Diceros bicornis minor: one gene and its partners. The protein of the gene in region 2 purifies or fractionates together with the protein of the main gene of each other region. This does not show direct contact. Links are inferred from orthologs where the notes say so. Each region holds a gene or a part of one and is shown on either strand. Other genes may lie near its edges.

What was found.
Region 1: the proteins of EIF3B (region 2) and EIF4B purify together in Homo sapiens (affinity purification with mass spectrometry; 3 studies listed by BioGRID and IntAct, with this or other methods). This does not show direct contact. The link is inferred for Diceros bicornis minor from reciprocal best matches to the Homo sapiens genes EIF3B and EIF4B.
Region 3: the proteins of EIF3B (region 2) and EIF3H purify together in Homo sapiens (affinity purification with mass spectrometry; 10 studies listed by BioGRID and IntAct, counting the BioPlex papers as one, with this or other methods). This does not show direct contact. The link is inferred for Diceros bicornis minor from reciprocal best matches to the Homo sapiens genes EIF3B and EIF3H.
Region 4: the proteins of EIF3B (region 2) and EIF3I purify together in Homo sapiens (affinity purification with mass spectrometry; 12 studies listed by BioGRID and IntAct, counting the BioPlex papers as one, with this or other methods). This does not show direct contact. The link is inferred for Diceros bicornis minor from reciprocal best matches to the Homo sapiens genes EIF3B and EIF3I.

The regions. Positions count from the first base shown.
Region 1 is NC_080756.1:17,197,973-17,205,576, reverse strand, and holds the start of EIF4B (eukaryotic translation initiation factor 4B), read left to right. Parts: upstream 1-4,587; 5' UTR 4,588-4,658; coding exon 4,659-4,671; intron 4,672-7,604. UniProt on the Homo sapiens protein: Required for the binding of mRNA to ribosomes. Functions in close association with EIF4-F and EIF4-A. Binds near the 5'-terminal cap of mRNA in presence of EIF-4F and ATP.
Region 2 is NC_080765.1:12,217,440-12,225,280, forward strand, and holds the start of EIF3B (eukaryotic translation initiation factor 3 subunit B), read right to left. Parts: upstream 3,012-7,841; 5' UTR 2,996-3,011; coding exon 2,521-2,995; intron 1-2,520.
Region 3 is NC_080760.1:33,255,590-33,263,265, forward strand, and holds the start of EIF3H (eukaryotic translation initiation factor 3 subunit H), read right to left. Parts: upstream 3,013-7,676; 5' UTR 2,976-3,012; coding exon 2,844-2,975; intron 1-2,843.
Region 4 is NC_080752.1:47,009,189-47,016,841, reverse strand, and holds the start of EIF3I (eukaryotic translation initiation factor 3 subunit I), read right to left. Parts: upstream 3,010-7,653; 5' UTR 2,969-3,009; coding exon of another isoform or gene 2,940-2,968; coding exon 2,937-2,939; coding exon of another isoform or gene 2,844-2,936; coding exon 2,751-2,843; intron 1,235-2,750; coding exon 1,147-1,234; intron 841-1,146; coding exon 775-840; intron 1-774. Other genes in the region: TMEM234 (transmembrane protein 234), read left to right, coding at 2,809-2,968, 3,421-3,572, 4,354-4,420, 7,172-7,264, 7,544-7,638. UniProt on the Homo sapiens protein: Component of the eukaryotic translation initiation factor 3 (eIF-3) complex, which is required for several steps in the initiation of protein synthesis.

The DNA of each region.
Region 1 (7,604 bases), on a different chromosome or scaffold from region 2:
CCTGGACCACACTGGGCTGGCCCACCCCACATCAGTACCTTTTTCCAAGTTTCCGCTCCCCTCCAAAATCTGCTTGTCTTTGTTTCACAGCTTTTAGATAGTGGTGGGCTTTGTTTGTTTGTTTGTCTTCTTCCAGAGTTTACTGTTGTTATCTACAAAAGGATCAATCCATTGGGAACTTATTTACTATACCAGAAACAGAACCCCTAGATAATCTAGATATATATTTAAAATTAACCTTATACATTCAAAACTGTGATGAAAAGACTTTTATTTTGGAGAAATACACATCTTTAAAGCAGCAATATATTTTGTTTTCCAGTAATGAACACTAAATGAATCCAGGCATATAAGTCAATATACAGTATAACCTCTTGAAAACCTCAATAAATGTAAATTTCTTGAAAGTCTTACTTCAGCACCAGCAAATATGTACCGAGCACCAACAATATTCCAGATGTTAATTCACGGAAGGCATAAACATAATCAACATGGATGCTGCCCTCCAGGAGCTACCAGACCAGGAGGGAAGGCAGTTCAAGGAGGAAGGTGACAAGGGCCGAAAAGAAGGTGTAGGCACAGCGCTGGTGGGGCTCAGAGGAAGAAGCTCAGAAAAAGCTTCCTAGAAAAGGGGAGTTTGAAGAGCCCTTGAAGGATAGATTTTATTGTTGACCCATTCGGCAGTGAAGGAGGACAGAGTACTCCAGGCAGAGCGAAGAGCAAAGGAAAACAAGACTCAAAGTTAGGAAAGCACAAGGTATACATGGCTGGAATGTAGCAGACCAGGGAGGATAGTAGGAAATAAGTGTGGACCAGTAATCTGGGGCTGGATATCCACAGCCTGGAGTATCTGCCTAGGCCACAGAGAGCCATGGAAGGTTTGCCAGCAGGGGAATGTGTTCAGACCTATGCTTTAGGAAATAAATCTGGCAGCTACTTATTACATGTATTGAAGCAGGGAAAGACTACAGGCAGGAAGACTCAGAAGAGTGACGCATGGTCAGGGTGAGAAATGACACGGGAAATGATAGGAAAATGGAAAAGAGGATACGAATATAAGAGACGCTGCAAATGTTAGGCCTTGGCAAGTGATTTTCAATAACCAGTTTCTGACCCACAGAAACTGAGATAACAAATGTCGGTGGTTTTATGCCAGTAAGTTTTAGGGTAATCTGTTATACAGCAGTGGATAATTAACAGTTTATTTCTTCCAGATTTCTTCAGAAAAAATGATACAAAGTACTTGTCATAGACTTATTTTGCGATTTTAAGTTTTCTTTATTTCTATTTATTTATTTATTTTGCTGAGGAAGATTCACCCTGAGCTAACATCTGTTGCCAATCTTCCTCTTTTTTTGCTTGAGGAGGATGAACCCTGAGCTAACATCTGTGCCAGTCTTCCTCTATTTTGCATGTGAGCCGCCGACACAGCATAGCAGCTGACACAGCATGGCCGCCGCCAAGTGGTGTAGGTCTACGCCCAGGAACCCAACCCTCGAACCCAGGCTGCCAAAGTGGAACACGCAAACTTAACTACTAGGCCACAGGGCAGGCCCCAGTTTTCTTTACTTTTGAGAAGTCTCTGGGAAACTGAAAAGAACGTGGACCTGATAAGACAGGCAGCTCTGGGTCTGCAGTTCTGCCACTTGCTGGCTATGTGCACTTGGGAAAGGTACTTACTGTTTCCAAGCCTCAGAGTCATTATCAAAAATAGGATTAATAATATGAACCTTTCACCAACACACCGCTTGGCAAGCCATGCTGTGGCGGTGTCCCATATAAAGTAGAGGAAGACGGGCATGGATGTTAGCCCACGGCCAGTCTTCCTCAGCAAAAAGAAGAGGATTGGCAGATGTTAGCTCAGGGCCGATCTTCCTCACAAAAAAAAAAATTAAAAATAATAATATGAACCTTAGAGGGCCATTGTGAGGACTAAATAAGCTAGTTTGTTTAGTGCTTGGTATGACCCTGGGATATATTAGGTGCTTAGTAACTGAAAGTCTCTACCTACCCCACAGGTCCCTACCTTATCTGGCTCTTCTTTGAACTTTCCGAAATCTACTGTTTCCAATAGTCAATTTTTTTTCTTAATTCTCCTATATCATTCCATTTTAACGATCCAAACCAGAAGAAATACAGAATCTCAGGCCTCGCCCTGATCCTACTGAATTGGAATCTGACTTTTAACAAATTGCCCGGGTGACTTGTAAGCACATTAAAATATGAGAAGCATTGGACTAGTAGCTATCTCAAGTTTCATATGGCTTAAACAGAGCCCACACACTCTCTCCAAACCTGCTCCGCCCCGGGCTTTGCCTTCTGAGTAAACGGCATCACCCAGGTGTTCATGCCAAAACCTGTGCCCTTCACATCTAATCAGTCTCCAAGTCTACTTCCAAAATGTACCTGCATCTCTCTCTTTCCATCTCTACACTCATATCTAAGCCACTATCTCCTCTCACCAGGATTACAGCAGCCAGGGCCAACTTATCCAGTAGGCACAGCAGGCTCAGTACCTAGGCCCCACCATACTTTTAGAGGCCCACAAAAATATTTTAGTTTATTTTAAAATCATAAGAAAAAAATAAACATTTAGGTCAAAGAAAATGGTTTAATGTATCATATTAATACATTTGCGTTTACACCAGCACAATCATAAAATATAATTTTCAATATTGTTTTTATGGAGAAGGGTACAAAAGTCCCTAGAGTCCATGAAAAGTCACAATGGGACCCTGGCAGCAACGAGCTTTTAACTGTCTTTCTCTTCCATTACTGCGTCTGTATAATCCACTCTCCATTCAGTAGCCTGAGTAATCTTCTTGTTTTTAAATTCAAGCATGACTTCTATACAGTAAAGTGCACAAATATTTTTTTTTTTTTTTTTTTTTTTACTTTTCCCCCAAAGCCCCAGTGGATAGCTGTATGTCATAGCTGCATATCCTTCTAGTTGCTGTATGCGGGACGCGGCCTCAGCGTGGCCGGAGAAGCAGTGCGTGGGTGCGCACTCGGGATCGGAACCGGGCCGCCAGCAGCGGAGCGCACGCACTGAACCGCTAAGCCACGGAGCCGGCCCAAGTGCACAAATCTTAAGTGTACTATGTGATGAACTTTTACATAAATATCCACTCATGAAACACATCAAGATACCAAGTAATCCTTTTCAAAATTTTACTTCGTTATGACATTCCCTTGTCTAAAATCCTTTCATGCTTTCCCAACCCACATGGAAGAAATTCCAAACTCCCAAACCTGGTTTAATAGTTCACATGATCCAACCCCTACCTATCGCTCAAGCTTCATCTTGTACCACTCTCCCCCTCCCTCACCATACTCGAGCTACCAGTCCTCTTTTTTTTTTTTTTTTTTGGTGAGGAAGATTGTCCCTGAGCTAACACCTGTGCCCATCTTCCTCTATTTTGCATGTGGGACCCCACCACAGCATTGCTTGATGAGTGCTGTGTAGGTCCGTGCCCCGAGTTCCAGGGGGATCCAGGCCACAAACCCAGGACTGCCTACAAGGAGCACGAGAACTTAACCATTACGCCACCTGGCCGCCTGCTACCATCCTTTAAATCCCTCAACCTGCCAAGATCCTCCGGCCTTGGAGCTTTTAATTGAGTGTGCATCCTCTGCCCTCTCCTAAAGCTCTTCCTAAAGACGTTCACAGGGCTGCCTATTTGTAATTCAGATCTCCATTTACATATTACTTCCACAGAGGCTTTCGCTGACCAGGCAATCAAAAGTTGCATCCAGTCGCCTGTTATCAAATCACCTTGATTACCTGCAGAGTGCTTATCATTTCTAACATTTTATTTATTCACTGCATATTGCCCGTCTTTCCTTCACTGGACTATAGCGTCCTTTGAAGCGGTTTTGTTATCTCTTGTACCCAAAAAGCCAGTATCAGTGCTTGACACAGGGCAGGTGCTCAATGAAAATTTTCACGGCATGAAATACTAATATATGATAAAATGTAGCATTAGCTGGATAGCTGTGAAATACGGGCCTGAGTCTGACTAAAGCTAGTCATTGAAAAGAAAGATTAAACGAGGTAAAAGCTGACGGCAATTAAGTGTTCAGTATTTGTTACTTACTTATTCCTTCTAAACATGCCCAATTAAAATGATCCTTAAGCAGGATATTGCGCTTGTTTTGCACGAAAAGTGATTTTAAAAGAAACTTAGTAAATAAACCACAGATGTTTTTACACATGGGAAGAAGAAAAAAAAGGAAGAAAGAAACTCAGAATCTTCCCTTCCAGAGAATCAACCGCAGCACACCCGTTCCAGGTTCCAGCCGCTGCATTCTGACCCCGAGCAATAGAACCAGCGAGCACCACCCCGCCCCTTCCGCCCACCCCTCGGCCGGAAGTCTGAGAATCAGAGACCCCGCCCCGGGCTCAGAGCTGCCCCCTCGGCCGCGCGTAGCCATACGTAAAGCGTGGGGGTTTCGCGACAGCCCAGGCCCCACCCCTTTGGCCACATGTCACGCAGGTCTTCCCCGTCGGACGCCGCGCCACCTCCTCGCGCTGCTTTACGAACCCAGAGCAGCGCCGCCCCGCCCCTCCCAGTTTCGCGTCTCCTAGCCCGACGGGCCCGCTATAATCACGTGATCGCCTCATCCGGGTCCTTTGCGTTCTCTCTCCCTCTCTCAACATGGCGGCCTCAGGTGAGTGAGCGGCCGAGCGCGGCCAAGGACCGGGCTCCGAAGCCACTCTCCGAGCGTGATCCAGTGGTTCCTTGGAGTTGGAGAGCGGGCGGCACCGCTTCCCTTCGGGTTTTGGGGCTGCGGCAGGCTGGCGGCTTGGCCGTGTTAGGTTATCGCCTCGGGATGTTTTGGGGGGAGAGGAAGGACACCTTCCCCTCTCCCTCACACCCTTTTCACCCCGTGTGCGCAAGGTTGGAGTGGGGAGTAATGATGGGCTCTGGCTAGAGTTGGAGTGAGCAGGAGGCGCAGAGAGATCTGTGGGAGGCGTGAGGCCTTCTCACACACGGGCAGCCCTGTGCCCGCGGGAAGGCGTGGAGAAAGGGAGGAGGCGGTTGGCGCGCGGACGGGTGCACACCAGACCAGGTCTCCGAGGCGCGAGGCCGTTGCGGACGCGAGGGGGGGCTGGGGAATAAAGGGGGGGGCAGTTAGAACGCGAGCGCGAGTCGGCGGAGGGGCGGGGGAAGGTGGCGATGCGCGTGCGCGGTAGGAGAGGCCAGGGTAGTGGAGACAGGCGCGCCTTAAAAGCACGCGCGAGAGCCCAGATGGGGAGGTGTTCCGCGCCTGTTTTGCTTTCCTTTGTGTCCTTCCACTTTCTGCTCTTCCCCTTTTAGAGGTGGCTTGGTCCCTATGTTCTCCCGAGGGTAAATGTGTTAAGTTTGGAGGTTGAAGCTACTGGAGTTAGGTGGGGGTAGGGAACCCAGTGCGGTGCGCCCACGTGTTGGCGGAGAGGAAGCAAGGGTGGAGACCCAGATTTCTTGTAGGCTTTTTTTCTTATTCAATCAACACATACTTACTGAACGAAAACTATATGCCAGGCACGGTTCTAGGTGTTGGAGATGCAATGGGGAACAAGATCAAATCCCTTGACAGCTTCCATTTTGGTTGAATTTTGATAGCTCCAGTGGTAGAGTTCAGCTCTCTCTTTTTTTAGATAGCTGCACAACTACTACAGAGTGCTTTTAAAATAATACTAGTGGCTAGAGTTGGTTTCCTTTTTAGACTTCTTCGGGAGAGGGAATGTCACTGTCAGGCAAATCTATTTGCATTTCTAATAGGCTTACCAGTGAGCTGTGCAACGATTTCGTAGCATTGGTTTTAGTTTTGGGGATATAGTTTCTTTTTCCTCGCATGACCCTGCATTCTACAAAACATTTATTGAACCCTGCTATCTCTGGACACTCACTTCTAACCAAGAATGTATCTTCTCTGTTATTACATAGGAAACTAAGGATTACGTATGTCTTTGGAAAATGTTGAGGAAATTGAGGTGTATTTGAGCTTAATTCCCTTCATTGGCATAGCACTTGACAATTGACCAAGCACTTTTATATGTATTGTCTTATTTGATTCTCTTATTTGATTGTCTGTGAGATAATGTAGGCAGATGGTGGTATCTCCCAGCTGAGGAAGATGAAATTTTGTTCAAGGTCAAACTGCTTGCCAGTCGAAATTTTTGAGACTCTTGACTCTTCTACATTATCAACTTGGAAATGACAAAGTTGGCTTCCATGTCATCATAAATTTGGGATGCTCCCTGAAAGCTTCATCTGAAGTAGAGTACTTACTTGGCCTGGATTTGCCATCTTGATGGCTTAGTGTCATAATTTAGTGAAAAGCCTATATTCCCTTTCTCCATAACTTTTGTGGAATTTTTAGAGGTGGAAGATAATGTTAGCAATCCGTGTCCTTCATTTTACGGAGTTGAGTGAAATTTGCACTGGTTAAAGTGGTTTGCTTAGTCTTTGTCCCCTTCACCTGTTCTTCGATGTTTACCCTACACCCTTGGAAGCCCTCATGTCCTTTAAGTTGGTTCCATAAATCTTTCTGGCTTGTGTACTATGTGTAAGGGAACTACGCTAGTGTCTGAGCAGAAGGTTACATCTGACGGTCTGCCCTTGAGGAACTTGGGGTTTATCAAATTTCTTTCCTTACTTTGAATCTTCCAATTGCATTGATTTTGTCAAGTGACCAGTATTCACAGATGTGGCTGTATTGATGAGACTATAAAATTCTCAGTGTATTTTCAGTATACTACTTGATAATGCTCAGTGTCTTGTTGAAAATAGACCTTATATGTTCTCAGTGAAAGTACATGATAAAATTTCATAGGCCTCTTCTACTGTTAAATGACACCAAAAAATTCTTTGCAGCAATACCAGTCAGTATCCATTATGACCCATTATTGACCTTCAAGAACTGAAAGTGTCCCAGATTTGACTATTGAATCTGCTCTCCTTACCTAAAAGGAATCGAATGTGCTTGATACAGGTTAACATTTTTTGAGACTAAAAAGCTTTAAAATTGGAAATAGTGTATGTATGCCCACACAAGGCCTTCATTTGCATAGCGCTTCAAAATGCCATTGCATGTGGCATCTTGTTTTATGGGGAGAGGATGGTGTCCAATGGTTGTTTTCATAAAATGCTGACCCTTATAGTTAAAAATCACTTCAGTGGTTGCCATTATATACTGTTCACATGTTACCTATTTTCAAATCCCATCCCCTACTAATATTTGTTATTCTAGGAGTAAGATACCCAGATTCAGAAGGCCAAGACTTAAAACTCCTTATAAAAATTCAAGGACAGGGGCTGGCCCTGTGGCGTAGCAGTTGAAGTGCCCGTGCTCTGCTGCTGGCGGCCCGGGTTCGGATCCCGGGCGCACACCGAGGCACCGCTTGTCAGGCCATGCTGTGGCAGCGTCCCATATAAAGTGGAGGAAGATGGGCATGGATGTTAGCCCAGGGCCAATGCTATAGGAGCCAATCTCTGCATAACTGCTTTCTTTCAAAGCATAGAGTAGGTCTAGAATATAATCTGGTTGGTCATGAATGATAACTTTTGGAGTAGGATTAGTGTTAAGTCACTTGGGAAAAACATGGAAACTTCACATTC
Region 2 (7,841 bases):
ATATAAATAATGTTTAATGAGCCAAAACAGAAGACATTTAGTTAAAACTTTTATCATATATCAGTTTGACGGAGCACCAAAGGCAGTTGAAAAACTGAAAGGATGACTAATTGAGATGCAACTGCGCGACAGTGCTTGTTACTGTACACAGGGCACGATCTGCTCACTGAGAGACAAAAGCCAATCGTCAAGAGGCAAGATGGTGGCAGAGAAAGGGTAGTTTATAAGAGCTTGCTAGCAAGGGAAAAGATGGCTGACTAATGTCTCAAAGCACCATCTTACAGAACAAAGACTACAGGCCAGTTATAGAGAGGGCTGGTCTCCAGGTGTGGGAGGCATCTGGTCTCATGGTAGGGACATCCCTCTGATCTCTAGGCGGGGCATCTGGTCTCAGGGTGGGGGCATCCATCTGGTCTTAGTCCCTGGCAGTCTTTTGTTTTACTGGATATGCATCAGAGACTGGAGCAACGCCCTGTACCCTAATCTTTCAGCTGTCACTGATGATGGCTATCAGCAGAGTCTCTGCCCAGGGATCACCACATTTCTAAGGAACTCAAAAGAACAAAGTTATCAATTTATAGCAGCTGGGAGGGGCCATAAAATCCAGAGTTAGTCAGAGATCATTCAAAGTTACAATATGGCTTCCCTTATGTCAACCTCGTGTTGAGCTGGTATCAGTGCTGATCTGTCTCAAAGAATGAGGCAAGATGACTTTGTGGTGCTTATATTGCACCCACGAGAGGGCTTTTCAGGAGACTCAGTCCATTTTCAAAAGAACCCTTACTGCCTTCTGCAGTGCTCTCTGACCCCCTACTGGGCAATTCTCACCCCACAATTTGTACTTGAGCTACTGACCATAACCAAGTAGCCTCAAGAAAACTGACAGCTGGCCTGCTCAGTTTTAGTTCCTTAGGACCAGGAGCTTCACAGCTCACTCTGGTAAAAATATGAGGATCACAAAGGCTCCCAAAGGCCCTCCCAGCAGTCACCTAGCCTGGCTGGCCTATGCTCATTGCAGCATCCTCTGACTGCCACACACTCCAATTCTGGAAATAATTCACATGCTAGAAATCTTGTATGAATTAGATGTGCTCAAATAATGCTTTAAAAAAATCAATCACAGAGTAAATACTGAAGAGCTCAAAATAGGCTTTAACATCAAAACTTCGATTTTACAATACAATATAAATTGCTGCGGTAAAAAAGAATGCTGGTCTGGGCAGCAGGATGGGGAGGGGGTGTCCCAGCGACACCGCCTCCCTGTGAGTTCTCAGCAACCTACCTCGCCATAAGGAACACATTTCCTCTTGGCTGAGGGGCTTCCAGTCCGTGGCTCTCAAGTCTTCACTAGCTTGTGGAGCCTTTCCTGCTTTTCATGCTAAAATATCTTTTGTCTTACGAAATAATGTACGCTAACAGCGACAGTAACAGGTAGCTCTTTAAAATTATGTTTAAATTAAAAGTTGACAACTCTGTGTTGGTTCCCTAAGTTTTCTTTCTCATTTTACTTGAGATTCTTTATAATTCAGACTCAACTTCACTGTGATCAGACACAATATCTCAAAAACACATCTACATCTCGATATTGTAACATCTTATTTTCTTGGTGTATTACTGGCTATTTCATTGATGTTTTATTTATTTTTCCTATTTTACTACAACAGTCAATACACAAAGGAACCCACTGATGTGCTCCCAGCTTGCAGAATTCAAATAGCTAAAAAAAAAACATACACGAGTAAAAACAAATGAGATTAGCTATCACCAAAAGTCACTTTAGAAGACAGGCTTTCTCAGGCAGGAAGCAGAGGTACTGCCTATAAATTGAATCAATGTAGAAAGGAAGGCAAAGCAAGCTACAGTCGACAACACTAAACCCTGAGATCTGCCAACACAAGAATGGCGTCTGCCTACACTGAGGAAAAGGGATAACCAAACAGGTGGCTGGCAGAGTCGGCCTGGCACTGTCCTACTAAGAACTCTCTGGAAGAAAACGCTTCCGTGGGGCAGCGGCAAAGGAACCAGCTCTGCCATAACCTATTCTGAGGATAGCGTCCCATCTGCCCCTAAGAAGCCGGCACTAAGTCACTTTCAGACATTTGACAGGTGTGGCTGTCATTCGAGGCATCCAGGCCTGTTGAGGGAAAACTGTCACCCGAGACTGTGCAGCACTGGAGTGTCCTGTTTGCTCGACCCTAATAGCCACACCACTGCCCACACGGCCACAGCTCCTGCGTGCACGCCGTCCGCCGTCGCCACTCCCCGAATTCCCGGTTAGAGTGCAAATAACTGGCTCCCCAAGCAGTCTCCATCCTGTCCCCTCTTTTCTTTTTGGAGAGAAATGAAAGCACCCAGGCTGTCACAGGACACCTTTCCTACGTGAGGGACGACGAGTGGAGAATGGGGACCTCCATGCTGAGTTCCACGGGGCAAAGCCCCTGGTGGGCTCCAAGATGCGCGGTGACCCGTTCCGCGTTCGGGGCCTCGGGAAGCTCCGCGCAGACAGCCACACCGCCTCACCTTCCTCGCTCACGTCGTCCACAAAGTCCTCGGGGTCGCTGAAGGAAGGCTCGTCCGCGCCGGCGTCCTCCGCCGCCCCGCCCTGCTCCCCGCCCGCCCCCTCGGACCCGGCCTCGGCCGCCGCGTCCTGGGCCTGCTCCCCCGGCGCCTCGCCCGCGGCCGGGACGGGGGCGGGGGGCTCCTCGAGCGGCGCCGCAGACGACCCGAGAGCCGCGCCGGCCGCTTCCTCCCCGTCGGCTGCGGGCTCGGCTCGCACGTCAGGCCCCAGCCCAGTCTCAACCTCCGCCGCTGCGTCCTCGCCGCCCGCCGCCTCCTGCGCGCCGGCCCCCGCGGGCCGCGGCGAGTCCTCCCCCGGCGGCGGCTCGGAGGCCGGCTGCTGCTGCTGCTGCTGCTGCTGCTGCTGCTGCTGCTGCTGCCCGGGCTCGGCCCGCTGCTCGCCCGCCTCGGTCGCGGCCACGTTCTCCGCGTCCTGCATGGCCCGCCGCTACCACCTCACCTCGCCCCGCCGCGCCGCGCTTCCGACTCTCCCAGGTCGCACTGCGCGCCGACCGCGGGCCATGTGCGTGCGCGGGGCGTTCCATCAGACTCGGAGCGGGGGTGGGCCGCCCACGCCCTGACTCCTGACAGCGTGGCCAGAGGAACAAAAGGGCAGCATTGTGTCCACTGATGATTACGATAACGCTCGTGTGAGAAGCACGTGCGAAACTCCAATCACCAAAGCGCCTCTGGTGTAACTACAAACTCATGGGGAGCTCGAGCTCCCCCATTTGTGGGAGCGGGTGGTTCCGTCCAACATGGCAGCCAGGCACCTCCTTCTCCCGTCGGGCGCTGCGGCGAAGGACTTAACTATTGGTGACGCCGCAGGGAAGGAGCAGAAGGTATCTTGGTATACGGAACTGCAGGAAAATATGTAACTCAAAAAGTAATACTACAAGAAACTGTAAGTTCAACCAACTATTTTTATTGTGATATCTTTAGCCTCTCATCAGTTTAGCTTACATTACTAGGTCCCCCCTTCACGTGTCGGTGTTTAGACTCGTCCACTGAGTGGGCACATGGATGGACGCTTCCAAAACATAAAAGGAATTCTCGGCCGTTGAGCCGGAGATGGACAACACGACTAGGAAGACGATTGCCTGGCACGATACGAAAATGAATGAGAGCTGCTTTAATCACTTACGCCCAAGCCCACCGTGGCGGCTGTAATTCCACCTCTCCCCGTTCTCATGGTCGCCGTGGTTCGGCCCACGGAGGCCTCCGCTGGAGCGAGCGCGGGTCACGTGGGGGCGGGGCGGAGCCAGCCGCGGGGGCGGGGCCGGCGCTGGAGGGTGGGTTTCGCTCTGAAAAGGGTGTTCTGTGTTTGTAGCTCCTATTTTGGTGGCAGCCGGTGGTTGTGGTTCTGGGGGAGGGGAATGGGGAATTAGTGTTTAATGAGTGCAGAGTTTCAGTTTGGGAAGATGAACGAATTCTGGAGATGGATGGTGGAGATGGTGCACAACAGTGTGGATGTGCTTAATGCTGCTGCACTGCACACTGAAAAATGGCTAACATGGTAAGTTTAATGTCATGTATATTTTACCACAATTGAAAGAGAGAAAAAAAAAAAGAACTAGGGTTCTTAGGTTGCCTAATACTAGGTGTGAATCCTCCTCATCTTACTTTTCAGCCGTGTAACTTTGGGCAAGTCTCCTGGCATCTCTGCCTCAGTTATCCCATCTGTAAAATGAGGGGTAACTCATTTTGTGTGCGTGGCCTGTGGACCGCCTTCACCAAGGCAAACTGATTTCTCCTAGAAGTCAAAGTTATGCTCTTGATTTCTAGTTGTATCTGCAGTTTTCATAGATCATTGGGCTATGCTACCCCTTCTCTTCTAGAAGGTGCTAAAGGTGACAAATCAATGAACAAGAAGCAAATATTCACAGAAAAGCTGGAAAACAGGGGCTGGCCTGGTGGCATAGTAGTTAAGTTCGGGCGCTTCCCTGCGGCAGCCTGGGGTTTGCAGGTTCAGATCCTGAGTGCAGACCTGCACACTTCTCATGAAGCCCCATGCTGTGGCAGCGTCCCATATACAAAATAGAGGAAGATGGGCACAGATGTTAGAGCAGGGCCAATCTTCCTCACAAAAAAAAAAAAAGCTGGAAAATAGTTGACCTTCATTGGCCAGCTGCATGTTTCTTAGGAAAGACTTTTGTGGCATGCATGTGTTGCATAGAGTAGCCACTCATTACTATTTCCCAGTGAGGGGAAAATTGTATCCTTTAATGCAGGTGAAATTGTGTTGTGCTCATGATGCAAAAAAAAGAAACGTACATTTTCAAAATATATTTCATAGTGTTCTAGGGAGAGGACCAAGATCAGCAGTTCCGCTATCCTCAAATGCCTGAGAAGCACTGTAATTGATACTCAAATTATAAGTGCCTAAGTGGGAGGTGCTCTGCATTGGGGATACAGTGGTGAGTACAGCATGTATGATTGTTGCCGTCTTAGAATTGCAGTGTAGCAGGGGCAACATTCAGGAATCAAAGCATCACAGATGTGAGTGTAAAAGTGCATCTGTGATAGGTTCATAAATTCTTTGACACGCTTTCTTTCAAAAGGGGAAGCCAAACCCTGCTCCTCTGAAGTGTGGGTGGACTTAGTCACTGGCTTCTCATGAATAGCTTGTGGCAGAAGTGATGCTGTGTACCTTCCAAGTCCAGGTCCTAAAAATGATATGCTTGGGGCCGGCCCGGTGGCGCAAGCAGTTCGGTGCGCGTGCTCCGCTGCGGCGGCCCGGGGTTCGCCGGCTCGGATCCCAGGCGTGCACCGACGCACTGCTTGTTGAGCCATGCTGTGGCGGCATCCCATATAAAGTAGAGGAACATGGGCACAGATGTTAGCTCAGGGCCAGTCTTCCTCAGAAAAAAGAGGAGGATTGGCATCAGATGTTAGCTCAGGGCTGATCTTCCTCACAAAAAATAAAATAAAATAAAATAAAAAATAAAAATGATATGCTTGCTCCCGGTTCACTCTCTCTCGAATCACTGGGTCTGAAAGAAGCTGGCCACCTTGTCCTGAGGACACTCATGCAGTGTGTGGAGGCGCCCCAGTGTGGAGGAACTGAGCTCCCCAGACAGCATCAGCACCGAGCTGCCAGACATATGAAATGGAAATGGATCCTCCAGCCCCAGTCAAGCCTTCAGATGGAGGCAGTGCCAGCCCGTGTCTTGAGAGAGGCCTCAGGAGAAACCAAACCTGCCAACACCTTGATCTCAAACTCCCAGCCTCCAGAACTGTGAGAGAGAAATTTCTGTTGTTTAAGCTGCCCGGTCTGTGGTATTTTTTTTACAGCAGCCTGAGCTAACTAATAGCGTAAGTAAAATACATAGAAAAAGGCCTAGAAGGATACACGCTGAACTGAAAAAAGTGTTTGATGAAGGTAAGTAGTATTGGTAGTGTTGGTCAAAAAAAATGTTAATTATAGATTCTAGGTGGTAGATTTACTCTTCACTGTAAAATTCTCTCAACTTTTGTGTATGTTTGAAAATTTTTATAATAAATTGTTGAGGGGGAAGGACTCAGGAGCCAGCTTTAAGAGGCCCCCCACTGCAACAATTTGAGCCTCAAAAAGAATAAAAAACTGCATATGATTGACATAAATAAAGTATGTTTAAATCCATTAGTTCATAATGCTGTTAAAAAAAAAACATTCATCACTGGTGACTCTTGCTGGGACATTATCTCATTGTTGTAAAGACAAAAGACTCTAGCAAAAAATAAGTAATCTTGCCTCTCTTATTTTACCTTATATTTTAAGGTAACCAAATAGTTGATTAGGGATTGTCCTTCTTTATTGAAGAATTCTAGCTAATACATGCAGAAGGATCAATAAAATTGGAGAGGCAGCATTCTGCAACCCTTGTGAAATAAAGATCTAAGCAATGGTCCTGCAACCGGTGGATGAGAGGTTGATAGGGAACCGTGTGATGGAGGGAGCAGAATGACACCACCTGAGATTAAGGCTGTAAATTTCCCTCTACATGCTACTTTAGTTACATCCCACAAATTATAATACGTTGTATTTTCTGTTGCAAGTGTTTTCTAACTTCCATTATGATTTTTTCTCAGACCCATGGATTATTTAGAAATGTGTTATTAATTTCCAGATGTTTGAGGATTTTCCAGACATGTTTCCAAAATTGCTTTCTAGTTGAAGTCTGTTGTGACTGAAACATACCTTTGTATGATTTCAATCCTTTTTAAAATGTATTGAGATTTGTTTCATGGCTAAGAGTGTGATCTACCTGGGTGCACGTTCCTTGTACACTTGACAAATGTGCTGCTGCTGTTGGGTGAAGTGTTCAATAAATGTCACTTGGGTCAAGTGGATTGAGAGCTTTGTTCAAGTCTTCTGAAACCTTACTGATTTTCTGTCCACTTGTTCTGTCAGTTGGCTGAGAGAGCAATGTTGGAATCGCCGGTTCTGATGATGGATTTGTGTATTTCTACTTTCAGTTTTATCACTTTTTTCATGTTCTTTGAAGTTCTATAACAGGTGCATACACATTTAGGGTTGCTTTGTCTTTTTGATGAATCGGCTGCCTTAGCATTTTAAATATTCCTTTTTATTCCTGGTGATGTCCCCTGTTCTAGTGTCTACTGCTAGTACAGCTAACCTCCAGCTTTCTTTTAATTAGTATTTGCCTGGTGTTGTGGTTGAATTGTGTCCACTAGAAAGACAAGTCCAAGTCCTAAGCCCTGGCACCTGTGAATGTGTCCTTATTTGGAAATAGGGTCTTTGCAGATGTGATCAAGTTGAAATGAGATGATATCAGATTAGAGTGGGCTCTAATCCAATGACTAATGTCCTGTGAGAGGAGGGAAATTTGGACACACAAAAACACAAAGAGGAGAATGCCCTGTGAAGATGGAGACAGAGATGGGGGCGATGGATCTACAAGCCAAGAAATATCGGGGATTGCTGGCAACCACCAGAAGCTAGGAGAGAGGCATGAAATGGAGTCTCCTTCAGAATATCAAGAAGAAACAAGCCTGCTGACACCTTGATTTCAGATGTCTAGCTTCCAGAACTGCGAGAGAATACATTTCTGTTATTATAAACCACCCAGTTTGTGGTACAAATTACAGCAACACTGGGAAACTAATATATATGGTATAAATTTTTTATTCTTTTATTTTTAACCTATAAATAGCTTGATATTTAATGTGGATTTTATAGATAGCATATAGTAGGATCTTACTGTTTTAATCCAATCTGATAATGTCTGTCTTTTAAAGGGAATGTTTACATTATTTATATTCAGTATAATTATAATTCTGGT
Region 3 (7,676 bases), on a different chromosome or scaffold from region 2:
ATTCATACAACGAAGCGCTATATAGTAATGAAAATAAATGAAAAACAAATTACAGCTACTCACTCTAGAACAAACTAACTGCAAAATCACAGTGTGAGATATGCATATATATATATAACTTAAGACACAGGAGAACATATACTATGATTTAATTCAAATTTCATTCACATTTATTAATATAAACAGGCAAAGATAAACAAACTGTTTAGGAATACTCTGTGGTGAAACTATAAAGAAAACCAGAAAAATGACTGAAACAAAGCTCACAGTAGTGAGAATATGGTAGGGAGAAAGGATGGGAGGAAAAAATGAAATGGTGGAAAGGGCTTCAAAGATATTCGTAATGTTCTGTTTCTCAAGTTGAACGGCAGGTAATTGGATGTTTATCTTGTGGTTATTTAAATTATGCATTATAGACACTATTTTGCATATACATTTTGATACTTTTTACAGTTCTTTGCTAATGCTATCAATGATCTTTTTAAAAACTAAGTCAGGGAGCTGGTGGTGGCAGATTCTAACAGCAGTGACTTAAAGGAAAAATGGAAGACCACAAACATAGATGATTCTCTAAACATTGACTTCAAAAGGGAAAAAATGGAGACTAAGAACGGAACACAGAATGCTAAGCAAAAAGAGACAGAGCTGAACATTTTAACATGGGAAAGTCCTGACAATGTTTATATATTAAGAAAAAGGTAATATTAAAGATACAGAAGAATTGATGAAACAGGGCCAAAGGTAGGAAAGGAAAAGTTCAAGAATACAAGAAGAAAAATTGGTCCTGGCCACTATCAAGGTGCCAGGAACAAATGTGATTAAACATCAGGCTAACCAAACAGTCCTGTGCGGCTGGAATGTACAGTTCCTATGAAAGTTGGAAATAGTAGGAAATAAACCTAAACACAAAAGCAAAGACAACATCTTGGTGGGCCTTGAATTCATCGCAAACTCACTGAAAACACGTCAGGAAGGAAGCTGACAAGATCTGAACTTTCATATTAAGTGAATGTTTTAATAAAAGTATGAAAGATGGACTGAAGAGAGCTAAGAGAACAACACAAAATGCCATTAGAATAATCTATAAAAGAAGATACCAAGACATGAACTAGGAACAGTACAAAAATAAAATGAAATGTTATTCGTTCATTTATCCTATGTCAGTTAACGGGTTCAGTATGGAATATAACAGGTGAAAAAGCATAGTCCCTGCCTGCCCTCAGTAGCTTACATCCTGGTGGGGGAGAAAAACAAGAAAACAAACAAGACAGTTAAAGGCAGTGAAAAATGCTATGAAGGAAATATAGGGTGGTGTAATGGAGAGTGGTGGCAAGGGGTCTACTTTTAAGAAGGTTGTTAGGCAAGGTCTTTCTTGAGATGGTGGCATTCAAGCCGAGACTTAAAAGATCAAAAGAAGCCACTGAGAAGGAAAAAATATTTGAGAGAGTATTTCAGGCAGAGAAAACAAAGAACTGAAAGGTCATTGTGACTGGAGCCTAGAAAGAAGCATGAAGTGAGTTTGGAGAAAGAGACAAGAGTAGCAGGACCTTAAACTGTGGTAAGAAGTCTCTATTTTACTGAAGTGGACATAGCAGGTGGCATATAAATGCGAAGCAGCTAAATTTGATATATTTTGGAGGTGGAACCGACAGGATTTGCTGAGGGACTGGATGTTGAGGATAAAAAACAAGAACAACTGTAGGTTAATACCTAGGTTTTCGAACTTGTTCAAATGGATAGATGGTAGTTCCACTTACTAAGACAGGAAAGACTGAGGTAAGACCAATGAGGGGCAGAGAGGAATGAGGGGGAGAAGTCAGTAATTTTATTTTAGACATGTTCAATTTGTAATTAAGGTGCCCGTAAAATAGCCAAATAGTGATGTCAAGCAGGCAGCTGGGTACTCAAGAGCAGCATTCAAGAGCCAAGTCTGGCCAAAAGTATAAATCTAGGAGTTATGAGAATATAAATAATATTTAAAGCCACCAGAAGGGACGAGAATACCTTAAAGACTACTCCGATAACTACTACACACAGTAACAACAGCTAAGATAAAACGGTAGCTTACTATGTCTCAGACGTTGTTCTAGTTATTGACACATATTCAGCCAATTTTAATCCTCAAAACAATTCAGATGAAGAAAAGAATGTACAAAGAGAATAAGTAACTCGCCCAACGTCATTCAGCTAATTTGAGAGCTGAGATTCAAACCATGCACTCTGGCTCCAGAGGTGTGCTTTTATACTTTGTTGCGCTATGTCAAGCAGAGACTAGACACAAGGAAGCAGAAAGCCAAATCCTTGGGCACGCCAACATTCACACACACGGAAAGGAGAAACCAACATAAAAGACGTTCACTGCAATCATGCGGTTTCACGTGTAGCGCTGACACACAGCCTCAAGAGTGGCTACAAAGTAAATCTCCATTTGGGAAGTTCGAAATGTCAGATTCCAGCAGAGAAGCAATAAAGTTTCCCTTACTCTCCCCTCGCAAAAGCCCTAAACTCGAACCCTAGATTCTTCCCTTCACCTCCGTCACCTACTTGTCTCCAGAAGTCTTTCTCCAAAGCCCCTCTCCCAAGCATCTCAAAACAAGATCCCAAGAATCTGTCACAACCCCAGCCCCGATCCCCTTTCTCAGCCCTCACCCCCCACCCCGAAGGCAGCGAAGGCTGTCACGTCACCCGAACAAAATGTGAAGATGAAAGAGGAGAATTTTAGGGGAAAACCTTGGCCCAGCCTCACTAAGCCCAGAGAAAAAGCTGGCTGGAAGCGCGGATAGCGGGACTGGGCTGGGAACTGCGCTCCCCACGTGGGCCTGGGGAGACAGAACTCCACTCACCAAGCCATCTATCTGCACTTGCTTCACGGCCGAATCTCCGGAGCCGCCTTTGCCTTTGCCTTTCCCCGCCGCGCCGGTGGCGGAGCTGGAAGAGGTGGCAGCAGAGCCGGTGCCTTCCTTGCGGGACGCCATCTTTCCAGCCGGACAGGAAGAGAGAGAAACGTGAGTAACCGGAAGCGGAAGTACAACGTCGCTTGACGACAAGCGCCGCCCGGCGATCGAGGGGCTGAGCTGAAAGGAAAGGATGACTTGGAGCCCCGCCTCCCTTCTTTTTTCTAGCCTAGCCTACGTCGCCGAAGGAATCCTTTGCGCATGCGCAGTGTGCGCTTGCGACTGGTCCCCCGTTGAATGTCTTAAGAAAAAGTAGACTTTTTAAAATGTTTTCTATTTTATGTTTAGTCAGTGTCCGTTAGCCAGTTATCATAATAGCATTATAGCTCGTATTTCTCTAGCGTCTCATGCGTAAAAATGCTTTCACTTCTAATTTTTTTTTTATTAAAAAAATCTTGTAAACTACGAAGGGCTGTACTAATTTCCATTACACGTGTTAGGAAACTGTGACGTGAATTGTCCAACGTCATTCTGTTCAGTAGTGGCGATCTGATATTGCAGTTTGTCTTATGTAATTTTAGTTAGCGGTCTTTAGAGACAGATTACACAGAAATTAATTAAAACATGGGAACTTTAATAAGCATCCCCAGAACTAATAGCCCTTTCTTGCTATTAGGTTCATGTAGGATTTACCTGAGTAAAGTACCAAAGAAGTCATTTTATGTAAAGTGTTGAAGGATGATGCAGAACGTATTCCCTAAAAATCACACTGAGTTATGATGTAGGTTCTCTGAAATATATGTTTCAAGTCTTTAAAAGAATACTTAGCTTTAGAAAACCATTTTAAATAAGGGATTTAAAACATTCTTTCTCTGCTTCCAAATGACATTTTCTCTATTCTTCACTTTTGAAACGTTTACTCATTCAATAAATATCTATGCAGAACTGACGAAGTGGTTACACCAAGGAAGGGCATATCCGGCTCTGAAGTTTTCTGTTGTTTTTGTCGGTGGTGTCCTGTGTTGTATCATGATCTGGGAACAGAAAGAGTTACACCTGACAAATTCCTAATGATACAAAATAAAAGGTTAATATCCGTTCTTTTCCAGTGCACATGAATATATATCAAAATAGACCACATCCTGGGCCACAGTAAAGACTCCACAAATTTAGAAGTATTGAAGGTTGATTGTAGTAGAATTTTACCACAAATCAGTAATAGGAAGATAACCAAAAAGAAGAAGAATGAAAATCCCTCCTGTGAGAACCAGAGCTGGAGGCCTATCATTGGGTAGCTGGAATGATGAGCATCAGAAAACACCTAGGTTACTTACAAACAATAATAAATTTACTAATTGCTTTGTCCTACAACATATATAATATAGTTTTGTTTCAAAATTACAATGCCAACATTACCACTAATAAAACTACTAAGTAAAGTTTAAAATATCTTGGCAATTTTTTGTCCTTAGAAATACTCTACTATGATTTTTCAGTCATGTGAACTAATCACATTACAGGAGTTCTTTTAATCTGAACCAAGATAGTGCATGTGGGCCCTCTGCATGAAGCATCCCAGAGCCAAGAGGTAGAAATACAGAGAGAGAAAGAGAGAGAGAGAGGGAGATAGAAGACTCATGAAGTAGCATTTGAAATAGGAAATCAATATGATCACCCTAACTAGAAAGGGCCTAGAAGCAATGACACTTCCCTCACTTGGATTCCTTGTTTCCTTTCTGTCTCACTGGCTGCTCCTTTCTTCTCAGTCACCATTGCTGATTTCTCAACCCTTCTCCAACATTTAAATATTAACAGCGCTAGAGTGCAGTCCTTGTACATCTTCATTCCCTTATCTTTACTCCCTATCATGGTGATCTCATCCACTCTCAAGGCCCTAAAGACCGTGCATAGGCTGATGATTCCCAAATGTATATCTCAGAGGTTCAGACCTCTCCACTGAACTCCACACCAGCATGTCCAATGCTTATTCAGCGTCTCCACTTAAATGTCCAGCAGGCACTTCCAACTTAAGCTTTCCAAAACTGAGTTCAAATACCACCCCTCCTTCCCAAAAAATGTTCTTCCCCCAGTCTTCTCTATCTCGTTTGATGACAGCTCTATTCTTCTAGTTGATAAGACCAAAACCCTTGGAGTCATCTCTGACTCCTCTGTTTCCCTCATATCCTATGCTGATCCATCCTATACGCTCCATCTTAAAAGTATATTCAAAATCCAGACTTCTTCTGGGAAGATGAAGTAGAAATATTTTTCCCTATTCCTCCCAGAAAGTACCACTAAACCCCTGATTTATAAAGCAAACAAAAGAAGACTCTGAAAGGTGTAGAGAAGAAGGAATACTGGCTAGGCATGTTGGGACCCAAGGAAAAACACACTGGTGGTTTCCCAGGTTTCTGTATGTATCCATATATACCCCAGACTTGGAGCTGAAGTCCAGCGGAAGCTGACGTCCAGCAACCTGGAACACCATTAGGCACAGACCAAAAAAGCTCTAACAAAAGTCTATTCACTGCGCTCTGTCAGTGGAGACCAAGTGAGGAGACTGAACTTCCACCTTTGCTGGACAGTAATGAGGCACCCATCCACTCCACCAATGGAATGATGTGAGAGAAGGCCTAGTGGGGAGTCAGGATTTCACCACAATGGTTATGAGGCCACACACTCGGTGGTGTCAGTGAAGGTAACAAGGAGTGCAATAATGAGGCCCTCATCCCCCTCCCATCCAGGAGGTATCAGTGGAGGCCTAGTGGAAGCTGGAACTCTGATTATGTATTTAATTCCCAAGGAATTGTATTCCATCCCTGAGGGAATCAATGGAGGCTGAATGTGGAACTTCTATTTGTACCCTCAAGGGGCAGTAGCAAGAAGGAATCACCTCTCATTCCATTGCTAGAGCTGTGTCAGAGGAAGCCAGCTAAAACAGAAGGTCTCAAGATCCAGAGTTCCATAGCAAAATACCCAAACCTCTATGTTTCAATTAAAAAATCACTCATCATCTCATCAAGAAACAGAAAGATCTCAAACTGAATGAAAAAAGACAATCAATAGATGCCAACACTGAGATGATAGAGATGTTAGAATTATCTGACAAAGATTTTAAAGCAGCCATCATACAATGTTTCAATGAACAATTACAAACAAACTTGAAACAAATTTTTAAAAAGTTTCAGCAAAGAAATTCAAAGTCTCAGCCAAGAGAGAGAAGATATAAATAAGAACCAAATGGAAACTCAGAACTTAAAAAATACCACAATAAAAAATAAAAAACTTGGGGGGCCAGCCCAGTGGCGTAAGCAGTTAAGTGCACGTGCTCCGCTTCAGCAGCCTGGGGTTTGCAGGTTCAGATCCCGGGCGCACACTGACGCACTGCTTGTCAAGCCATGCTGTGGTGGCGTCCCATATAAAGTAGAGGAAGATGGGCACGGATGTTAGCCCAGGGCCAATCTTCCTTAGCAAAAAGAGGAGGATTGGCAACGGACGTTAGCTCAGGGCTGATCTTCCTCACAAAATAAGTAAATAAATAAATAAATAAATATAAAAAAATTAAAAACTTGGGCCAGCCCCAGGGGCCTAGTGGTTAAGTTCAGCATGCTGTGCTTCGGTGGCTCAGGTTCGGTTCCCAGGCACAGACCTACGCCACTGATCAGTGGCCATGCTGTGGCAGTGGCCCACATACAAAATGCGGGGAGACTGGCAACAGATGTTAGCTCAGGGTGAATCTTCCTCAGCAAAAAAATAAATTAAATAAATAAATGACCCAACAGATGGGCTAAACAGCAGAATAGAAAGGACAAAGGAAAAAAGTCAGTGGACTGCAGATGGAACATAAGAAGTACCCATTCTGTACACAGATTAACAGAATATAAAATGGTACAGCTGCTGTCGGAAAGAGTATGGCAGTTCCTCAAAAAATTAAACATATAATTACCAAATGATCCAGCAAGTCCACATCTAGGTATATACCCAAAAGTTTTGAAAGTGGGGACTCAAACAGATATTTGTACACCAATTTTCACAGCAACATTACTCATAATAGCCAAAAGGTGGAAACAACTCAAATGTCCTTCAACAGATGAATGAATAAATGAAATGTAGTATATACATATTATTCAACCTTAAAAAGAAATGAAAGTCTGATATATGCTACAACATGGATGAACTTTGAAAACATGATGTTAAATGAAATAAGCCAGACACAAAAGAACAAATATTGTACGATTCCACTTATATGAAGTACTTAGAATAATCAAATTTGTAGAGAGAGAAAGTAAAATAGTGGTTACCAGGACCTCGGGGGAGGCAGGAACAGGGAGTTATTGTTTAATGGGTATAGAGTTTCGATTTGGATGATGGAAAAGTTTTGAAGATGGACAGTCTTAGTGTTTGCACAACAATGTGAATGCACTTAATGGCGCTGAGTTGTACATTCAAAAAGGGTTTAAATGTTAAATTTTATTTTATGTATATGTTACCACAATATAAAAAAAGTAGACTAAAAAAAAAATGAACAGAGCCTTGGGGAACTTTGGAACTATAAGAAAAAAATGTAATAATCCTGTCGTGGAAGTCTCACGAAGAGCAAAGAAAGACAGCAGGGATTAAAAGGTATCTGAAGAAATAATAACTGAAACCTTCCCAAATAGGAGAAAAGTCATAACCTACAGATTCAAGAAGCTTGAGCAAACTCCAAACAGGATACATCCAAAGAAATTCACACCAAGACATATTAGAGTCAAACTTCTGAAAACCAAAGAAAAAATATTG
Region 4 (7,653 bases), on a different chromosome or scaffold from region 2:
CATCGTGCTAATGGAGCACTGCTCACAGTGGACTGCAATATACCTGTTTCCCCCTCGGAATATGCTCCTTCACAGCAAACACCCGCTCTAATTTCCCTGTGTCCCCAGCGCCCAGCCTAGACCTGGCACAAAATTGGGGACTCGGTAAATATTTACTATATGGAGCAGCTTTCATAGGCTCCCCCGTCTTTAGTTGCAGTTCTTTCCCCACTGCTACCTGAGCTTGCTAAAACTAAACACAGACCACCACTCTTCCCTGCTCAGCAACCTCCACAGCATGCCACGTCCTACAGAACAAAGCCAAGCTCCTGAGTTTGGCACTCAAGGCCTGTTCTGGCCCTAGCCTGCTTCATCTTCTCCACTGACTATTTCATCCCTCAAGCGGGAACTCCTGCCAGATCATATGACCTGGACACGACACTTGCCATGCTTTCATTCCTGCATGTGCCAAAGTGATGACCTCTTTCTCATCCTTTAAGCCCCAGCTCATATGACATTTACCTTGGGAAACCTTTCGGGCTGCTCCCATCCCCCTGCCAGGCAGTCAGTCGCTTCTCTCTGGCCTTCCACCGAGCTCTATGCTTCCTCTCACATGGCTCATTATCTTCCTGCAGTGCCTCTTTTCTCATCTGTCTTCCTTATTTTCTTATCTGTCTCTTGTTCCCTAGGCTAGGAACCATCTCTGGATTTATTTCTATTTCCCCAGAACCTGTTCACTTAAACAGTACACTGTAGGTCCCCACTGTGCTGAAAAAGTGAATAGCCCAGGCTTACCTGTTTCACAGTCCCAGAGACGACAGCTGTTGTCAGCTGAGCCAGTGAGGACATGCTTGGTGTCCCCTGAAGAGGGTGTTAAGAAACATGACTGAGTTCACCTGAGCCCTTGTCCTCTTGGGAGCCAACTCAATCATCTCCCTTTTCAGCCCCAAAGAGCTTTTCTTCTTCTCTCTTACCTCAGAGGTTTCTCACCTCCTCATCTAGAACTGGAACTTGTCCTGAATCTTCCCCCAATCAGTGAACAAAGGGAGTAGGAGGCTTCATTATCTAGACCCACAAGAGCATCCCAAACTCCCAACCTCCAACTCAGCAGCTTTTCCATTGCTGGCAGACCCTGGGAGCATAGACTCAGGGCCAAGACAAGGATACAGTCAGCGTCCACACACCACACAGCTCCAGTATGGCCCATGTAGGTGCCCAGCCTCTCACCATTCACGGAGTACCATACATTGACAATCTGGAGGGGTCAACGACAATGTGACAGGATGGTACACAACCCAGGCAGAGCAATAGCCTCCTATTTTGCCCCAGGAACCCTCACCAGCCTCTAGCCAGGCCAGATTCTGCTCTCTCCTGCTCATCTCTTGGGAAACAGCAGGTTGCTGGTAAAAAGACCAACTCCTGGATTCTCCTCCTTCCTACAGGTAAGCGGCAGAGGAGTCAGGAGGCTTGCAAAAATGTCTCCATCTGCCACTGTCCCAGCCCTCCCCCAGACTCCTAAGCCCTCAGAAGAATAAAAGGTCAAGTTGAGTGCCAGTCCAGAAAAACAGTAGCTTTGGTGTCCTGTCCAAGTGGGAGTACTTGGTAGTAGGGAAGCCTGGGGAGTCCTTGCTCTGCCACAATCTCACTGTATTATCTCAGATACAGTGCTTTTCCCCTCTGAACTTCAGTTTGCCTATCTGTAAAATAGCCATGACAATAATGCCATTTTCAAAGGGTAGCTGTGAGGCTCCAATAAAATGATTAAGGAATTTAAAATATAGGTGACTAACATTAATTAGGCACTCATACGCACCAGGTGCTAAGCTCCTTACTTGAATGATCTCATTTAATCCTAAAGACAATGCCATGGAGGAGGTACTATCAGTACCCATATTTTATAAAAAGGGAAACTTGAAGTTTATAATTTTATTTATTTATTTATTTTTCCCCAAAGCCCCAGTAGATAGTTGTATGCCATAGCTGCACATCCTTCTAGTTGCTGTACATGGGACACGGCCTCAGCATGGCCGGAGAAGCGGTGCCTCGGTGCGCGCCCGGGGTCCGAACCCTGGCTGCCAGCAGCGGAGCGCGCGCACTTAACTGCTAAGCCACGGGGCCGCCCCAAAACTTGAAGTTTAGAAAGGTTAAATGACACACTCAAAGTCACATTGCTAGTGGATGCAGGGGTCAGGATTCAAATCAGGCGTTTGGCTTCCGCATCCCCACTTTTACCATTAGAGTTAACTTCATCCATGGGGAGGTGCCTCAAAAGGCGGTGCTGTGAGGGCCTGTTTACAATCAGTGAATGGCAGGATGGGGCCCAGAAGGACTGACTGAAATGAGACCAAGGACACCTTTATTAAGTCCTCTGTGTCCCTCACCACCCAAACATCAGCTTTCCCCTTCTAGAGGTGGCTTGTTCCCCTCTCCAGGTAGAATAGTTTTGTTCTCCCCCAGAGTGGTCTCCTCCTGGTCCCCTGAACGAGCTGACCCTTGTCCCCGTCCTCCTTCCACAATGGTCTCTTGCTTTTCTTCTCCCCGGCTACTCCCTCTTTCTACCAACAACTGAGTTCTTTCCCACCTTTCCTGGTAGAATGCTCTCTCCTACCTACCCCCAGGATGGTCTCTCCTTACTTCTCAGAATAGGGCGCTCTTTGGTTCCCCTCTTGCGGCAAAACTCGCTTGTCCACCCATCGCCCTCCAGAATGAACGCGCCCCCTCCAGAGGCCCTCCGCATGATCCCGCCAGCCCGCCCTCCAGCCGAGGCTCACAGGGTCCTTGGCCACCGTGAAGAGGAGGTCTCCCTCGCGGTTGTACTTAATCTGCGTAATGGACCGCTCATGGCCCTGGAGAAGGATCGGCTTCTGTGGGGACAGGACGGGAGAGTCAGCGCCCAGAACCGGCCCCTGTCCAGACCCGGACCCCCAGGGCAACACCTCCAACTCAGGGGAACTTACCATCGCAGCGGTGACGCGAGGAGAGCGGCAACGTGAGTAGAACCGGAAGAGGCTTTGCAGCGGCTTCCGGATTATGGGTCCCCGCCCCTTCGTTCCCGGAAGTGGAAGGGAGCGGCGTTGCCATGGCGGCGTCTCTCGGTGGGTAAGGCGCCCCGCCCCACCATGGCTTACCGCCCGTCTACGGCCTTCAGTTTCCACCTCTGGAGTTCGCTTCCTACTCCACGTCCACCTCCACCTCCACCTCACCCCGACTCTTGCTACAGCCCCAAGCCCCGGGCTCCTGGATTCATCTCCCCGGCCTTCCGGGGTCTGTCCTACCCGCGAATCGCACCCGCAGCGTCGGAGAGCGAAGGAGGGAGGTGGGGGAGGCTAGCTGGGCATAGGAGGCCGGGAGAGGGCCGGCCGGGATGGGAGGCCGGATGAGGGCTGGGCCCGGCGGGCGGCCATTTGGGGGTAGGGAGGGGTCACTCGCATCTCCATCCAGGGCAGGTACTGGCCTTGGTGCTGGTGGCCGCTCTGTGGGGTGGCACACAACCGCTGCTCAAGCGGGCCTCCTCCGGCCTGCAGCAGGTTCATGAGCAGACCTGGGCCCGGCAGTTGCTGCAGGAGATGAAGACTCTCTTCTTGAATACTGAGGTGCGTCTGTGAATGGCCCCTCTCTCGGGGATAGTGGCTAAGAGTTTAGTCTCCTGAGTCAAACAAGTCTGGGTTAGAATCTACACCCCACCACTTACTCGCTAGAAGCTCATGGACAAGTTACTTGTTCTTCTTGAGACTCAGTTTCATCATCTGTAAAATGGGAATTATAATGGTAACCATTTTATAGGGCAGTTGTGAGGATTAAGTGAAGTGAGTTACAGGGCCTAGTACATAAGTAGTGCTCAGCCTATGGCTGCTATTATTAATATTTTATTATTGTGATCCCTCCAGTAGACCTTTCCAGAGCGAGGGCTTGGGGCCCAAACTGGCCCTGGGGAGGGAGTTTAAGGAAGGATATGGAGAACTCCCTCTGACCCCAACACTGCCAGTCTAGGCTAGTGGAAAAGACAAGACATGGACACAACCACCTCTCAGGGCTAAGGGGTATGAGAGAGGTACAGATAGTTCAGAGGAGGGAGGCTGGAGTTAGGGGACTTGGGAAAAGCTTCCTGGAGGGAGTGACATTGGCACTCAGGGACTTGCAGGATAGGGGGTATGGGAACTAGGAGGGCTGAGGGAGGGGGCATTCAGGACAAAGGCATGGAGTTCAGTCAGTAACTTTCCCTCTGCCCTGGAAGGGTCCTTTTCAGAAGGCTCAGTGCTCCCTGGGCCCTTATAGCTACCCCTCCCTCCAAGGAAAGGCATATCCAGAAGCTCAAAGTAGACAGTGCTGCTCAGTCAAGCAATCACACTGACTACAGATTTCTTCTGTTTTCAGTACCTGATGCCGTTTTTCCTAAACCAGTGTGGTTCCCTTCTCTACTACCTCACCTTGGCATCAACAGGTGGGTCTCTGGCTTAGAACTGCTATGCTTAGTGGTGGAGGCCACCTGGAAGAGTCACTTTGGGGAGGGAGCCTGAAGCACCTTGTTCCCATGGGTGAGGGAGAGCCCACTGCCTCTGGTTCCCTGTGCACCGCCTTCTCTGAGCAGAAGGAGCACAGGGGGCTGGTTGTGAGTATGCTGCCAGGCACTAGGCTTGGTTTGAAGCCTGGCAGTCTTGTGCAGCAGCAGAGGAAGAAGGAGGGTTCACTTTGCTGTGTCAAGGGCTGGCTTTGATGCTCTTGCTTCCACTGCATGCTACCTGCTTGACCTTGAGCAAGTCCCTCATGTGAACCTTGGTTTTATACGACTGGCTTCATAGCATTGAGAGGATTAAATTCAGTGTATGAGAAGCATCTAGCAGAGTACCTGGTGCACACTGTAGGAGCCCAATAAATATAAATTTCCTTTCCCCCATTGTTTGTTGACTGCCCTCTACTGCATCAGATACTGTGCTAGTTTTACACATTTTATTTAATTCTCATCGTGACCCTGTGAAGGACACATGATTATCTCCATTTAGGAGATGAAGTTACAAAACTTTGGGCAACTTATTTCATCTCTCTTAAGTCCCACAGCATGTCAGTGCAGAAGGGTTTGAAGCCATGTATTACTTAAAGTTTATGCTCTTTAACTTTGCTATGAGAAGTCTCCCTGTGGTGGCTTCACCTCCTCTGGAGTCTCACCCAGGCCCTCTGGGGACTTGAAGGGAGTTTGGGCCCCAGATAGCTCTGGGGAACCTCTCAGGCCATGGGTGGGCAAGGGGATAGGCCAGTCTCCAGACCTGCTGTGTCAGCTTCAACTAGAGTCACTCCACTTTCATCTGTTTTACATTTTGGGCTTCTCATAAGACTTCATTTAAAAGAAAGTTTAAGGGCTGGCCCAGTGGTGTAGTGGTTAAGTTCGTGCACTCTGCTTCAGTGGCCTGGGGTTTGTGGGTTCGGATCCAGGGCACAGACCTATGCAGCACTCATCAAGCCATGCTGTGGCGGCATCCCACATACAAAATAGAGGAAGATGGGCACAGACGTTAGCTCAGGGCTAATCTTCCTCAGCAAAAAAAAAGAAAAAAGAAAGTTTGAAAGACTTGGGCACTCCCTGCTACCCAAGAATGCTGAACCCTCTGGCCAGCTGACTGCGGTTGGCCATTTACCAAGTTTTGGGCAAATGGCAATTTTATGATCCTGTTATCTCATCACCTACTCTGCCTCTATCCTTTAACATCCACCCATTCTAATAATCAGAACAATGGTTACTATTTATTAAGCATCTACTTCAGCCAGGGACTATACAGGCATTGTCATATTTCATCTTGCAACAACCCTGTTGTAAGTAGATGCTGTTATCTTGCTATCACTGTTTTACACGTGGGGAGCGGGCTCCGAGTGTTTGAATGAGCTAACCGAGACTACACAGGGACACCCAGCTCTGCCTCTCCAGTGCCCTTGCTCTTCCAGTGCAGCATGCTGCTTCCCTCCCCCATCTACCATTGTAACCCAGTCTTTAGCAGCCATGGCATTTGTTGTAAGGCATGTAAGCTTAAGGAAGCAGGTCTGAGTAGTAGGAGTTGTGTCAGTTTCTTGGATGGGTAATGCCAGCCATGGTAGGGCCTCACAGGGGATGAGGAGTGGGACAATTCTCGCCTCCACTCACTACCTGAAACAGGTGAGGCCTGGGAGTGCTGGGAAAGAACTTCTTGAGGAGCCAACATGAGCATCCTGGTCTCGCTGGCAGTTAGGAGTTTTGTAAACAAGTAACTCAGCTTCTGATTTATCCATTAGTTTTTTTTTTTTTTTTTCGTATGTGTGTGGTAAGAACACTTAACATGAGATCTACCCTCTTAACAAATTTTAAGTGTATAAAATTTAAGTGTAACACATTTTAAGTTAACAGAGTTGTTAAGTCTGTTAGTCTTTTTCAAGTCTGTTTATTGGGAGTCAGTCACTCGGAGCTTCAAGACTAAGGAGCAGATCCTGGGCTCTGGTGGCCTCTCCCTAAGGCCCAGCCCTGTGGGGCCTGTCCTGAACAGGTACCCGGCCTCCTCCTTCTAACATTCTTTTTTCGTCTTTAACTCCATAAGGCCCAAGCCTGAGCTGAAACAGAAACAAACTGTGCTTCTCCTTCTCTTTTGGTTTGTCCATATCCATTTAATTCGATAAGGGCACAGGCTTGGGAGTCAGGCAGACCTTGGTTTAAATCCTCAATTTGCCTCAATTTATGTGACTTCTTTGAGCCTTTGTTTCCTTTATCGATGCAAAATGATGACAGTGCTGTTCTTGCAGTGTTGTTGTGAAGAGTCAATGAGACATGGACACAAAGCGCCCAGCACAGAATATGTGCTTAGTATGAACAGTGGCTGTGCTTCGTGTCACTGCACTCATTCTGCTGCATCCTTTGGGCTTTGGGTGCCTGTCTGTCCAGATGTGCTTGAGATCTCAGGAGCTCTCTTTGAGTGCAAAGACCTCATCCTTAGCAGCAAACCAGGGTGGTTCCAGACTTTGTAGTTCAGATTTTCATGCTGGAATCTTGAGGGAACATGGAATTTGGAGTTAGGAGACCTGGCTTTGAATCCTGAGCTTGGCTGTGACTTCGTCTGGGAAATGGAGTCCTGAGATACCGTTTTTTAAAAGGCTGTCTTGATGATGAAATGAAAGTGTTTTGTGCTTCGAAAGGCATTTTTGCATCTCAGAGATTCTTTTCATTCTGCTCACTCAGATCTGACCCTAGCTGTGCCCATCAGCAACTCTCTGGCCATCGTCTTCACACTGATTGTTGGGAAGGTCCTTGGAGAAGATATTGGTGGAGAACGTAAGTCGGGCCACTGCAAGTGTGGGAAGCAGCTACTTGGGCCTTGATACCCCTGTTTTGGTTCTTTCTCAAAGCCATGTCCCATGGGTGGGGGAGGAGAGGACCTTCTCCGATCCTGCCCCTTTCCTCTGCAGCTCTCCTGCTTCCTTGGGGCCATCAGAGTTCCCTTCCCCTGGACAGTCTGGGGACACACCCCATCTAAGCCCTTCCCTCAGCCCTGTACCAGCTCCTGCTGGCATGGCTGGGCTCAGAGCCTCTTATTTCTGCCCATTACCGCAGGAGCATTCGCAGGCATTGTGCTCACCGTGGCAGGAATCACCCTCTGCATCACAAGCTCAGTGAGCAAGACCCAGGGGCAACCATCTACCCTTTGAGTGGGCCGACACCAC